2 linked regions of the Stegostoma tigrinum genome follow. The protein of the gene in region 2 interacts with the protein of the main gene of each other region in a biochemical or structural test. Links are inferred from orthologs where the notes say so. Each region holds a gene or a part of one and is shown on either strand. Other genes may lie near its edges.

Evidence for each region. The genes of interacting proteins can lie anywhere in the genome.
Region 1: the proteins of annexin A7-like (region 2) and sorcin-like interact in a biophysical measurement, tested with the Homo sapiens proteins (2 studies listed by BioGRID and IntAct, with this or other methods). The link is inferred for Stegostoma tigrinum from reciprocal best matches to the Homo sapiens genes ANXA7 and SRI.

Annotation. Positions count from the first base shown.
Region 1 is NC_081355.1:110,330,588-110,337,697, reverse strand, and holds the start of sorcin-like, read left to right. Parts: upstream 1-4,041; 5' UTR 4,042-4,157; coding exon 4,158-4,181; intron 4,182-7,110. UniProt on the Homo sapiens protein: Calcium-binding protein that modulates excitation-contraction coupling in the heart. Contributes to calcium homeostasis in the heart sarcoplasmic reticulum. Modulates the activity of RYR2 calcium channels.
Region 2 is NC_081390.1:1,963,224-1,970,313, reverse strand, and holds the start of annexin A7-like, read left to right. Parts: upstream 1-4,084; 5' UTR 4,085-4,181; exon of another isoform or gene 4,182-4,187; intron 4,188-6,325; exon of another isoform or gene 6,326-6,475; intron 6,476-7,090. UniProt on the Homo sapiens protein: Calcium/phospholipid-binding protein which promotes membrane fusion and is involved in exocytosis.

The sequences.
Region 1 (7,110 bases), on a different chromosome or scaffold from region 2:
CAGGAAAGATCAAGCCTATGGCCAAGGAGTCCATACCCAGGGATCACAGTTAAGGGTCTAGGCCCAAAACGTCAGCTTTTGTGCTCCTGAGATGCTGCTTGGCCTGCTGTGTTCATCCAGCTCCACACTTCATTATCTTGGATTCTCCAGCATCTGCAGTTCCCATTATCTCTGATCACAGTTTAAGGATATGGGATAGGCCATTTAGGACTGAGATGTGGAGAAATTTCCTTCACCCTGGGAGTGGTGAGCCAATGAAATTCTCTGTCACAGAAAATGGGTTGAGGCTATACATGGGATATTTTCAAGGTGTTAGATATATTTCTTAGGGCTAAAGGGATCAAAAGATATTGGAGAAAGGGAGAACAGTGTTGAGTTAGGTAATCAGCCATGACCATATTGAAAAATGGAGCAGACTCAAAGGGCCAAATGGCCTACTCCTCCTATTTTCTACATTTTGTATGAGTACATCAATCAAATGTATACTCAATCTTCTCCAAGTGTGATGTAAAATATGTGATCTATGTATAATTTTGGAGTATAATTCAGTGTGTCTGTAGGATTTGATGATGAATTGGTAGGAATTTCTGCAGCCATGGTGATTTTACATTTTATAATAGTCTGACAGAGCTAGTTCAGAGAGTCTAATCCGAACTTGTTTACTTTGGGGATTTTGAGTGAACAAATTAAACAATATGATCTCTTAGATTTTCAGACAGAAGATTCTGTAATTTTGGGGGAATTTAGGGGAAACATTCAGAGAAAATAAAAGCTTCTTAGTTTCCATCTGGGGCAATTGTTTGAAACCTTGGCTGAAGCTAAATGTGTACAACAGTTGCTCCTAAGAAAGGGAGGTTGTTTAGGAGTGTTAGGAAATAGGTTAACTCAGCAAAAGGAGTTTTTTTTGACAAATGTCCCATCCCAGAAGTGTTTGGTCACAACTCTGAAGGAGTTATTTGAAGCTGAGAATGTCTACGCTCAATTGTATGAAGCCTCCAGGAATAGGCTACTAGATTTTCAAGTTGGGGAATTGATACCATAGTTAAATTAAGCTCTGTAGATATTAAAGTAAAAGGGTGTCTCTCGCTGGCGTGGGCACTGAGAAGGACTGCATTTGGGATTAATGGCTTGTACTCTACCATGTATTTTGAAATCTTTAAAACTGTGCTCCAAGCAAATGTATTTATTCCACATTATCATCATTTCTTTTGCACAATATATTTCTGTCTTATGGTTAAACTGCAGCATGGTATCTTTGTGTTTCAGTTAAAGGTCATCATATTAAAAGCAAGATTTCAGTCTGGGATCAGACTTGTCAAGTAATGCGATCAGGCGGGTTTCTAATAGGAAATTTATCCCAACTTCTCCAATGCATTAACAGAACTGAAATTCATCAATGAGGATCATTCTTGTGACTTTTATTCTGCTCTCTCTAAAACCTTCACATTTTTCTGTAAGTGTTCTGCCCACAGTGAACCCAATAAGTCAGTTGAGGACAAACCATTGCTTAATGTGCAAGTTCAACATAACCTTCTTGTTCCTGATCACAATGTCCTGATTGATAAAACCAACAACATTCCATGTTAGAGAAACCGTAACGTCCTTGTACATTTTTATTTATTTGTTGTCACATGTATACGGCTGACAGTCATCATGTGGGGGTGCTAGTGTTGACAAAGTCAGAGGTCACATGACACCATATTGTGGTCCAAGATAACAAAGTGTGAAACTGGATGAACACAGCAGGCCCAGCAGCATCTCAGGAGCACAAAAGCTGACGTTTCGGGCCTAGACCCTTCATTAGAGAGGGGGATGGGGAGAGGGTTCTGGAATAAATAGGGAGTGAGGGGGAGGCGGACCGAAGGTGGATAGAGGAGAAGATAGGAGGAGAGTATAGGTGGGGAGGTAGGGAGGGGATAGGTCAGTCCGCTTGGGAACAATGCAGCCCAATGGTATCAATGTGGACTTCATGAGTTTCAAAATCTCCCCTTCCCCCACCGCATTCCAAAGCTAGCCCAGCTCGTCCCCTCCCCCCACTGCATCCCAAAACCAGCCCAGCACGTCCCCACCTCCCTAACCTGTTCTTCTTTGCACCTATCCCCTCCTCCCACCTCAAGCCTCACCTCAATTTCCCACCTGCTAACCTCATCCCGCCTCCTTGACCTGTCCATCCTCCCCGGACTGACCTATCCCCTGGAACAAGAGTCACAAATCTTCAGCACCATCACGCTTCCATCAATGCCCCCTCCGCTATGAGTCCTTGCTGGAACTCGACAATTACAGCTACCACCTGTGTGCCACACCCAGCCCAAACTCTCGACCCTGCCTGCTGCCATGAGTCCACTTTGGCCCCACCGTGCTGTTGTAGCCACTGATGCTGGGGCTCATACTGGGCCCAAACTCGCCTGAGCCTCCACAGATCTGCGCTCGATACAGACTCCACCGAGAATCTAAATTCACTTCTGCCACAGCAGCCATGAGTCGGAACTAAAACACTTTGATGATGCAGAAACACTGGGCTCACTTTGTGTCCACGCTGGGCTTAGTTGCCGACTGCTGTAAATCCATGCTGGATTCACTTCGCGTTTACACACAGCCCGTTCACCACCGATACCAACTCCTCAACTGAACCCTACAATAGGAGATAGGTTTAAAAAAAAACTGAGAAATGAGGCAAAAAAAACCTGAAAAGCTACTCCGCCACGATCTTAGGCAATTCCAAGAATCACATAAACTTAGTTTGCAACTACAGAAAATGATTAGAAAAACAACTAAGATGTTGTCATTTATTGCAAGGGGAACAGAATATAAAGGTCTGGAGAGAGGTTGTACTAGGTGCGGCAGAGATCACAACTAGAATATTGTCTAAGTGTTATTCTCCTTATTTGAAAAAAGTGCATAAATGGTTTAGAAGCCTTTCAAGGAAAGTTCATGCCTCATTTCTGGGATGAATCTTACTAAGGGTTCATCAAGTTAGGTTTATATCCAAGATAATAAAATGTGAGGCTGGATGAACACAGCAGGCCAAGCAGCATCTCAGGAGCACAAAAGCTGACGTTTCGGGCTCTGATGAAGGGTCTAGGCCCGAAACGTCAGCTTTTGTGCTCCTGAGATGCTGCTTGGCCTGCTGTGTTCATCCAGCCTCACATTTTATTATCTTGGAATCTCCAGCATCTGCAGTTCCCATTATCTCTTAGGTCAAAGATGAGGTGCTTTTCACTTGTCCAAAGGGCTTCTTCTGTGCTGCACGAATCAATTAACTTTAAAATGGATCGTTAGTTCATTTTGTACGAGCACTAAAAAGCAAAGGCAGGTAAATGAATCTGAAGCGATCAGCCACAATTCAACTAAATACACACCACGCTGAAGAGCCTGAGTAGGCCAAATTGTTTCTATGGCCAGATAATAAAAACACCAGCCCTAGGAACACGTTTTATACTGAGAAGTGGACTGTCTTAGCTAATTAAAACTCAAGAAAAAGTAAAATAAAAACTGAAATGGAGAAAATCCAAACAGAGAGAAACAGATGGAAATGCTCAATCGACAGACAAGCTAACCCTTCAGGCATCCAGCCTCAAAACAGATGTAGATTAACTGTAACAAAATTCGTGCGTATGTTCTCCCTCCCTCTACAAAACATATCGATTATTTCCAACATATACTTTTTAAATTAAACATAAGATGTTCCTATGCAACGACGAAATAAAAAAAACCATCATCCCACAACATGAGACATATCCGAAAGTTGTTCCCCGAGACAGGCTATCCACTCAACAAACGTACATGCCATTCCCCTAAGCTCCCCGGCAGCGGCTGTGGGAAACCACACCCGATACATGGTGGGAGAGATACCAACTCCGGAAGTGAAGGGAGGGGGGTAAGAGGTGAGGGGAAACACGGCGGGGTGAAACATAGACAGGCCCGGATCAACTAATCATGCCCGTCAAAATGAAATTGAGTGAATCAAATATAACGCTCTGTAATGATTGAAAACGTCCTGTGTGTGAGGATTGTTTGATTCTGAGGAGTTTTACGGTTCCCACCCCCAGTGCTCTGGGTAATGGTTGAGCCTGGCGTATGTTGCTCGGAGTTGGGGAAGAGGAAGTGCAGCTCTCTGTCTGTCTCTGTAGCGGAGTTCGGTCCTTTATACTCTGAGTATGGCTTATCCTGGATATGGGGCGGTATGTATTAGACATGATAGGGATCTTAGTGCAAACTGGGGGGGTTCAACTGTATTATAAGAGACCGCCCGTAGTCGGACGTTCAGCCAGAAGTTGATGTAAATTTTCTCTCTTGGATGGCGGGGATTTTGGAGGCGCTGTTTTCATTTCACATTTTCTTTCCTTTTACTCGCCCTGTACAAGTTCGTACCGTTCCTGCACCAATTCTTGTGCAGATGTTCGCCCCCGCCCATTTGGGATATTGTTTTCAGACTGGCGGCCTCCCCAGGTTGTTATTTCGGATGTAAATTGGAGCAGGGGGCACAGCATTTTCCGCGAATCCGGCCTAAGGCCACTGGTGCGTGGCTTTCTCGTGTGCACTGGATCCGTCTACACTGCTGTCTCCAAGCTCAGCCCCGCTTCCTCCTACTGGGATTTCACTTGTGGAACCCCCTGCTTGTGCAGCACTGCTGTGTTGTGCCTTCTGGATTTTTCGTAACGAGATTTGACTTAGAGAAGGCTCCTGTCGGCATTCCATAGGGACCGTTCCCTCTGCGTCTCTCTGGTCGACTACTCCGTCACCCCCAACATCTTCATCTGTTAACTCTCCCCGCCCCCCACAGCATAACTTCATCGTCCCCGCTCCCACAATATCACTTAATCTTACCCTCCTCCCTCCCACAGTATCATTTAATCTTACCCTCCCTCCTACCCACAGTATCACTTCATCATCTCCCCCCTCCCTCCCGCAGTATCACGTTATCTTCCTCGCACACCCACAGTATCACTTTATCTTCCTCCCTGCCTCCCTCCCACAGTATCACTTCATCATCTTCTCTTCCCCTCCCCACAATATCACTTCATCTTCACACACTCCCCTGCCCACAGTAGTACTTTATCTTCCTTCAACACCTCTTCATCTTTCCCCATTTCCAGTTCCAATATCTCTTCCACCAATGTCTTTCCATCTGTCTCCCCATCCACTGGACATCTCAGTCTATCCATGCCCCATTCCCACAAGTCTCTTTGACTGCCCCCCTCAACTCAACATGGCAGATAGCCATGCAACCACGTGGCATCTGCCGTTACCTTGACTCTCCTCACTGCCCAAAAGCCCAAAAACCCCTTCCAGGTAAAGCAGCAACTAACTTGCACTTTCTTCACTCTGACCCACTGTATTTGGTGCTCATTTCCCTTGACAGACTGGGTGATGATTTTGTTCTTTAAGAATAACTGTCTCTCCAGACATTTGATTTTATTTTTGACTCCAGTACCCATACATCTTGATGCTATTTGAGAGCAATCTAGTCCATTCCGTTAACTAATTGTATCTGTTTCGTGCTGCAAGTTTATATACCTCTAGTGCTCAACTGCTTTCTTTTTAAAATCTTGGACCTCCTCTGCTTACCATCCACGGAGACATCTTGCCACTTGCTATATTTTTTTTTTAAAAGTCCTCTCATCCCCCTCTAACTCTGGCCCAAAACGTCATTTGTGTCCCTTAATCCTTTACCATCAGATGGTGGGAACAGATTTACCTTGTCTACTTTCTTTAAACTTGTCATAATTTTGTATGCTTTTGTTAAATCCCTGTAGAACCACCTTTGCTCCAACAGAACAATGCCAGCTTTTCCAACCTAACTTTATCACTAAAATTCCTATCCCCTAGAACCGTTCTTGTAAATGTCCTCTGCACCCTGTCAAGGGCGTTCATATCCTCCCTAAAGTGAAGTGTTGAGAACTGGACACCATATTGTAGTTGTGGCCTAACCAGAGCTCCACTAAAAGTTCAGTGTAACTTCTCTGTTTTTATATTTAATACCTCCAATTTTTAAAGCACAAGATCCCATATAACTTTGTACTGTCTGTACGTTACACCGCCATCAGAGATCTGTGCAAGTGAACCTAGGTTCTTTTGTTCCTGTACACTCTTCTAGAATGGTGCAATTCAGTTTAAGTTGTTGCTGTCTTTTCCAACTTCCAAAGAGCGTCACTCCAATTTCTCCAAGTTCCATCTGCAATTGTCAGTTTCTTTCTGTCTTACTGCAATCAGTTGGTATCACTTTTATTCTGCACCATTCTTCCTAGTTTGCTATCATTGGCTGATATTGAAATCTGACTCCATTCCTGTATTGACGACATTTGTTTCAAAGAATGTGAGAACGAGCAGCGGTTCCACCATTGCCTCATGAGAAACAGCACTGCCTACCATCCCACAGTTAGTTGGATAAACAATTTATCACTATTTGTTGTTTTATGCCATTTTATTTGCCAAGCTGATACTGACCCTCCTATTCTATGACCATCAATTTTGTTAACCAGCAATTTTTTTCATATTCTGTCAGACGCTTTCCTAAAATTCATGAAGACATCTGCTGTAAACCCCTCAACAGTTTTCCTTCTTAACCTCATTTTAAAAAATCAATTAATTTGTCAAACACAATCTTTTACCAATCTGTGCTGCTTCTCCATAATCAAACCTCTTTGCTTGCTTTCTAAAGTCTTACCTTTGACATAACCTGACCTTTGTGGTTATTTTGAATGTGTAAACGTGCTTTCTCTGATCATGTCCTCTGGCATCTCCATCATATCTGGAGAAGTTGAGATGTGCATGGTGACCCCTATTGTTAACTCCAGCCTCACTTCCTTTAGTAACCTGGGATGCAAGGCATTTGCATCAAGTGACTTATCTACTGTAAGCATGGTCATTCTTTCCTGTAACTCCTGTTTCTCACTTTTGATTCCGTCTCTTTTTGATATTTCATTGACTCTTCCCTCCCAAACCCTAAAATGAAGAACACATTAAGTATTGTAGCCTTTCCTTCTGCCTCTAAGACTTGTACACGCTGACCAGATGTTCCAATCTGCCCTAGCCCCACTTGCTAACATTTGATCCATATCCCTCAATGCTTTCTATTCATATACCCCTCCAGATGCCTTTTAAGTGCTG
Region 2 (7,090 bases):
TTGGTAGGGGTAGCGATGTTTGGGGATGGTGTTGATGGGGAATCCTGTCTCGGGGAGGAGGAGAAGGCAGAAACAGTGTTTTAGGGAAGGGTTTATGAAGAGGCTGATGCCTCTATGAGGGGGTGACAGGGGAGCAGAGTCTGGGGAGGGGTTGATGGAAGCAGTGCCTGGGGAGAAGGTGGGGGGAATGGTCCAGCAGGAGAAGTTCAGGATAACAGGCAAGCAGTGTCTGAGGGAGGGGGGAATGGGGATCAGGGTCTCAGGGAGGAGGCGATGGGAGGCAGCGCCTGGGGCAGTGAGTAACAGGGGGAACAATATGGGGCAAGGGTGTGGGGATAATGGGGGCTATGAATGGGGGAAGAGAGTGTAGGTGATGGGAAGCAGTCCTTGGGGCGGGGTGATGGGGAGAGATGCCTGGGGGCTTGGGGGTGATTGGGAGCAATCTGTAAGGGAGTGGGGGGATTGAGGGAGCACTGCCTGGGGAAGTGGAGATGATGGGGAGTAGTGCCTGGGGGAGGAGGTAGTGGAGAGCAGTGCCTGGGGGTTGAAGGGGAGCACTGTCCGGGGGAATAAGGGGTAACGGGGAACAGTGCCTGAGGAAGGGAGTGGGGTTGACCGGGTGCAGTGCCTGGGGGAGGAAGTGGTGGTGATCAGGAGCAGTGTGTGGGGGAGTGGAGTGATGGGAAGCACTGTCTGGGGGAAAGGGGGTTGGGGTGCACTGTCTGGGGAAGTGAAGATGTTGGGGAACAGTGGGTAGGGGACAAACTAGGGGTGATGGGGAAATGTGCCTGGGGTCTGAAGGGGAGCACTGTTTAGGGGAATTGGGGATGTCGTGTGTGGGGGTTGATTGGGAGCATCATGTGGGAGGTATTGGGGAGCAGCGTGTGGGGGGGGTGACGGGGAGCAGTCTATGGGGAGTGATAGGGAGTACTGTGTGGGGGGTGATGGGGAGTAGTGTGGGGGGGGAACTGCTGGGGAGCAGCGTATGGGGGAGTGGAAGTGATGGGGAGCTGTATGGGAGGTGTGGGGTTGATGGGGAATGGTGTGAGGGCTGATGGAGATTTGAGTTGGGGGAGTGGGGGTGATAGGGAGCAGTATGTGGGTGATGATGGGGACAAGTGTGTGGGGGTGATGTGGAGCAGTGTGTGCGGGGTGATAGGGAGCATTGTGTGTGGTTGATGGGGACAAGTGTGGGGGGGGTTGATGGGGAGCCGTGTGTGGGGGGGGTGATGGGGAGCAGTGTCTGGGTGTGAGAGGGAGCGGTGTGGGGGAGAGTTGATGGGGAGCAGTGTGGGGGGGGTGATGGGGAGCAGTGTGGGGGGGGTGATGGGTAGCAGTGTGGGGGGGTGATGGGTAGCAGTGTGGGGTGGATTGATGGAGAGCAGCATGTGAGGGGTAGTGGGGAGCAGTGTGGGGTTGATGGGGAGCGGTGTGGGGGCAGATGGGGAGATGTTTGGGGGAGTAGGGGTGATGGGGAGCAGTGTGGGGGGAGTGACGTGGAGCAGTGCGAGCGGGTGATGGGGAGCATTGTGTGTGGGTGATGGGGAGCAGTGTTGGAGGGTTGATGAGGAGCAGTGTTGGGCGGCTGATGTGAAGCAATGTGTCAGGGTGATGGGGAGCAGTGTGGGAGGGGTGATGGGGAGCAGTGGGTGTAGGTGATGGGAAGCACTATGTGGGGGGTGGTGGGGGCAGTGTCAGCTGCAGTGCAAGTGACGGGGTGCAGTGTGGAGTTGCTGGGGAGCAGTGTATATGGGAAATGATGGGGAGAAGTGTGGGTGGAACAGCAAGTGATGGGGAGCAGTGTGGGGTTGATGGGGAGCGGTGTAAAGGGCAGATGGGGAAAAGTTTCAGCGGAGTAGGGGTGATAGGGAGCAGTGTGTGTGGGGGGTAATGGGAAGAAGTGTGGGCTGCAGTGCAGCGTGAGGTTGATGGGGAGCAGTGTGGGAAGTTGATGGGGAGCAGTGTGTGGGGGGTGCTGGTGTGCACTATGTGGGGGTGATAGGGAGCAGTGTGTGGGGGGTTGGGTGATGGGGAGCAGTGTGTGGGGGGGGTGATGGGTAGCAGTGTGGGGTGGATTGATGGAGAGCAGCATGTGAGGGGTAGTGGAGAGCAGTGTGGGGTTGATGGGGAGCGGTGTGGGGGCAGATGGCGAGATGTTTGGGGGAGTAGGGGTGATGGGGAGCAGTGTGGGGGGATTGACGTGGAGCAGTGCGAGCGGGTGATGGGGAGCATTGTGCGTGGGTGATGGGGAGCAGTGTTGGGCAGCTGATGTGAAGCAATGTGTCAGGGTGATGGGGAGCAGTGGGTGTAGGTGATGGGAAGCACTATGTGGGGGGTGATGGGGGCAGTGTCAGCTGCAGTGCAAGTGACGGGGTGCAGTGTGGAGTTGATGGGGAGCAGTGTGTATGGGAAATGATGGGGAGAAGTGTGGGTGGAACAGCAAGTGATGGGGAGCAGTGTGAAGGGCAGATGGGGAAAAGTTTCAGGGGAGTAGGGGTGATAGGGAGCAGTGTGTGTGGGGGGTGATGGGAAGAAGTGTGGGCTGCAGAGCAGCGTGGGGTTGATGGGGAGCAGTGTGGGAAGTTGATGGGGAGCAGTGTGTGGGGGGTGCTGGTGAGCACTATGTGGGGGTGATGGGGAGTAGTGTGGGGTTGATGGAGAGCAGTGTGTGGGGGGTGATGGTGAGCACTATGTGGGGGTGATAGGGAGCAGTGTGGGGGGGTGATAGGTTACAGTGTGGGGGGTTGGGTGATGGGGAGCAGTGTGTGGGGGGTTATGGGGAGTAGTGTCACGGGGGTTGATGGGGAGAAGTGTGTGGAGGTGATGGGGAAAGGTGTGGATGGGAGTGGAGGTGATAGGGAACAGTATGGGGTTGATGGGGAGCGGTGTGGGGGTGGATGGGGAGAAGTTGGGGAGATGTGGGAGGGGTGTGGGTGTTAAGTGGGGGCGATGGGGTAAAGATGTTGGGGCAGTAAGTGTGGGTGATGAGGGAGGGGTGTAGGGGATAAATGGGGGCGATGAGGGAGGAGTGTGGGGTGTAGGTGGGGGCAATGGGGATGGGATGTGGGGGGTGATGGGGAAGTGGAGATAAGTTGGGAGGGGGGTAAGTGGGGGTGATGGGTAGGATATGGGGGTGGTAAGTGGGAGTGATGAGGGAGGGGTGTGGAGGGTAAGTGGGGGAGATGGGGGTAAGTGCGGGAGGGGTGTGGGGGGTAAGTGTGAGTGATGGGTTAGGGTTAGCGGGTATGATGGGGAGCAGTGTTAGGGATGGGGGAGTGTGGAAGTGGGAGAGATGGGGTAAGTGGGGCAATGGGGATGTAAATGAAGGTGATGGGGAGTGGTATGGGGGTATTTGGAAGTGTTGAGTGTGGGGGAAGTGGGGGTGATGGGGAATGGTTGTGGGATGTAAGTGGGGGTGATGGGAGAGGGATGTGGGGTTAAGTCGGGGCCATGATGGAGGGGTGTGGATGGGTAAGTGGGGGCAATGGGTGTGGGGGGTAAGTGAAAGCATGGGGAGGGGTGTTGGGGGAAGTGGGGGCAATGGGGAGGGGTGTGGGGGGTAATTGTGGGTGATGGTGGAGGGTACATGGGGGCGATGGTGGAGGGGTGCGGGCGGGTAAGTGGGGCCGATGGGTGTGAGGGGTAAGTGGGAGCATGGGGGAAGGGTGTAAGTGGGGGCGAAGGGGAATGGTTGTGAGGGTGTAAGTGGAGGTGATGGTGGGAGGGGTGTGGGAGTTAAGTGGGGAGAGGTGTGGGGGGTAAGTAGGGCAATGGTGGAGGGGTGGCGGCGGGTAAGTGGGAGCATGGGGAAGGGGTGTGGGAGTTAAGTTGTAGAGATGGAGTAGAGGTGATGGGGGGACTAAATGGTTGAGATGGGAGGGACCCAGCTTGCGTCTGAGGGCGCGGCCCGCCACGACATTGATTGGCTACGGCCTTAGCGAAACCGGGCTGTGATTGGTTCATTTGAGGATCCCTGCGCCTACAGGCCTGGGCAGTCTTGGCTCCAGTTGGTCTCTGATTCCCAATCAGCCGACTGTGATTGGCCTAGGGATATCTCCTGTTACGATTGGCTGAAACTAAGCATCTCTGCGTGTGATTGGGTGCCGGTGGTCAGAGCTGTGGTTGGCCGAGAATCTTGGGGCCTTCGAGTTGAAGTCGTTGCCTGAACCAGAGCCGAAGAGGTAAAGGTGCGGAGAGGAGGATTGGGTCAGGGTGGGTAGGGGAGGGGTGGACTACAACTCTAAGGTGGGGGGCGGGAAGCGTATGGCCGGGGCCAGCTGTGAGAACCGGCCCCTGGTCTGGACCATCTTCGTAGCCTTTTGGGAGGGGTCCAGTGCTGCTGTAACTAATTTCAAAAATATGCTTTATTCATAAAAAAATAAATCTTATTATGAATGTAGACATAGTTATAAACGCCGTTCGGTTCTGTTTGGTAGCATGTCAAGGAAACAAAAACGCTGGCGTGTGATTGTTCCCAAACAAACCAAGGGCATCCCTTACACATCCAAGACTGTTATTTACGTGTATTCGAGGCTTTGGCGGGGTCAGGGGCTGTTGTGAGGCGCTGAGGCCCAGCCTGGATTCCGGGCTATAAGACATCAGGCTCTTTAACACTGACTAGTGCTGGGCGTTGCTCATTCCAGTATTGGTAACGATAACCAGTACAGATTGTGGTGGTTTTTGGTTATTACAGTTACTGCAGGCAACTTGTCTGTAACTATGACACTTCACCACAGGTTATAATATTTAACTGACAGGATCTGGTCGAATAGTTCATGTGGTGTTGTTTCACAAGTGTGTCAGGAATAAAGTAGTCGAATCCTTTTTATATCTGGGTTTGGCTCAGGGTGCTAAGGCCTACTGGATTCTGGAATGGGACAGATTTGGGGGTGGGGGTGCAGTTAGTGCACTGTTTTTCTGAACCCACATCAAACATCTGCGTCTGTGGCATTAGAACAAAATCATGTGATGACATTGAATGTGCAGATGTTGTAATATTGTCTGGTAATGCCAATTTTTGGGCAGATTTGTGAAAGCTGGTTGCCCTAAATGTTTGGCCAGTCAGGAATTACTACTCAGTTTGTAAACCTCATGCTCATGGACCTGTCAGTCTCTGATGTGGTACATCTTCTAATTGCACCCCTTTGCTCAAAGAGCCTGTTCTCCGCTCTTGCCGGGAGAAGATTGCAGGGCTATTATTTCAAAACCATCTCAAAATGCCTCAATTTCAGTGAATTATTTTTGAAGTCTACTTATGTTTGTTATGTCAACAAACTCAGTTGACACTTTGTATACTGCCAAATCTCTCAAGTACTGGTTAAAGACCAGTTAATCTGCTTTTGCAGGTGTATAAGGGAGTAATATTGGTCATGTTCAGGACAGTAATAACACTAAGGGATGGCACATAAAAGAATTGATAACCAAGAGGTGACCAATTTAAGATAATTGACAAAAAACACCAAAGGAGTAGTTTAGATTTCTTTCAATGCAGTGAGTTATGACTGGGAACACACTGCTTCGAAGCAATGGTTCAAATGTATCTTTCAAAATAGAATTGGATAGTTAATTTAAAGGAGAAATTTGTAGGGCTGGCAGTAAGAGCAGGAGAATGTTTAGATTGCCCACAGAGCTTGCCCAGGTGTAATGGTCAAATGGCCTATGTCTATGGAATGATTGTGGATCTTTAACCTTTGCTTTACTGAACAGCAGAATGCTGGTTTAGCATTTTGTGGGTGGCACAATGGCTCAAAGGTTATCACTGCTGCCTCACAGCACCAGGGACCTGGGTTCAATTCCACCCTTGGGCAACTGTCATTGTGGAGTTTCAACGTTCTTCACATGCCTGCGTGGATTTCCTCCCACAGCCCACAGAAGTGCAAGTAGGCGGATTGCCCATGGTTTCCAGGTATTCCACTTTGTCCTGGCCCCCTCATCTCCCATCTGCTCCCCTTTGAACGCTCCCACTTCCCCAAATTTGAAACAACTATGCAGCCACGCTGTTAATGAAGCTCCTGCAAGTGTTATGTTTAGGCAGCACCAAAACTCGGCCCAAATGTGAAACCTAATCTTTGTGTTAGAAACTAAGTTTTAGTTATTTTGGATGCTGAATACAGATTTGTTCTGAATTTTACATCAGAGTAAAGTTATCTTTCCTTTCTGTATTGGCTCTGAAACCACATGGACTTCTAGTTGGTGAGGGAGAAATTTGGGAGTCTACTGAGCAAACATCTTGCATGACCTCTCTTAGCTGATGTCTGAACATAGATGTTTTCTGTGAGTGTACTTGATCGGATTCTGATGTCCCCTGTGTTTGCTTTCCTGCCAGTGTTAATTGTCCTGAATCATCTGACTGAACATGGAGCTGCAGTTTACCCAGACCCAATGAAGTGCTTCCAAACCTGAAGTATCTGTAAGATTGACTGATAAAACAGGCAATAACAGCTCTCAATCTATAACCCGAAACACACCACCTCAGGTACAGAAAGTTCCCTTCGTCCTGCCTTAGCTGCAGTCTCAGTTGACTACACCAGTATAATGAAGCCATATTCCAGTCGCTGATTAAAGATTTGGTTCAGAGCTATAGTCTGCCCTGACCTAAACTTGGATTAACATGGAGCTTATGTAGTGTTCACGAACAGCAGTGCTTCAGCCACGTTTGTTCCATCTATCTGGTTCAAACTGATCTGTCAACTGATAGACTGTGTCTTATCTATGAGAGCAGGGAGGTTGTGCTGAACTTAATCAGAGGTTGGGTGTATATCACTTGGAACATTGTGTACAGTACTGGGTGCCACACTTCAGGAAGCTAGTGAAGGGAGTTCAAAGGAGTTTTATGACAGCGATTCCAGGAATGGAGACACTTCAGTTATGATGCTAGTTGAGATAAATTGGGGCTATCCACCTTGGATGGACAGAGCTGATTTGATTCAAGTTTTCAAAATCATGAAGAAGCTGGACTCAGTAAACAGGGAGAGTGTTTTCCTGTTCATGAAAGGATCAAGAATAAGAGGGCAAAGACTTGAAATGTTTTGCAAAAGTTGAAATGCTGTTTGTGGGCGAGAAAAGAACTCTGATTATGGGCTAGGCCTGG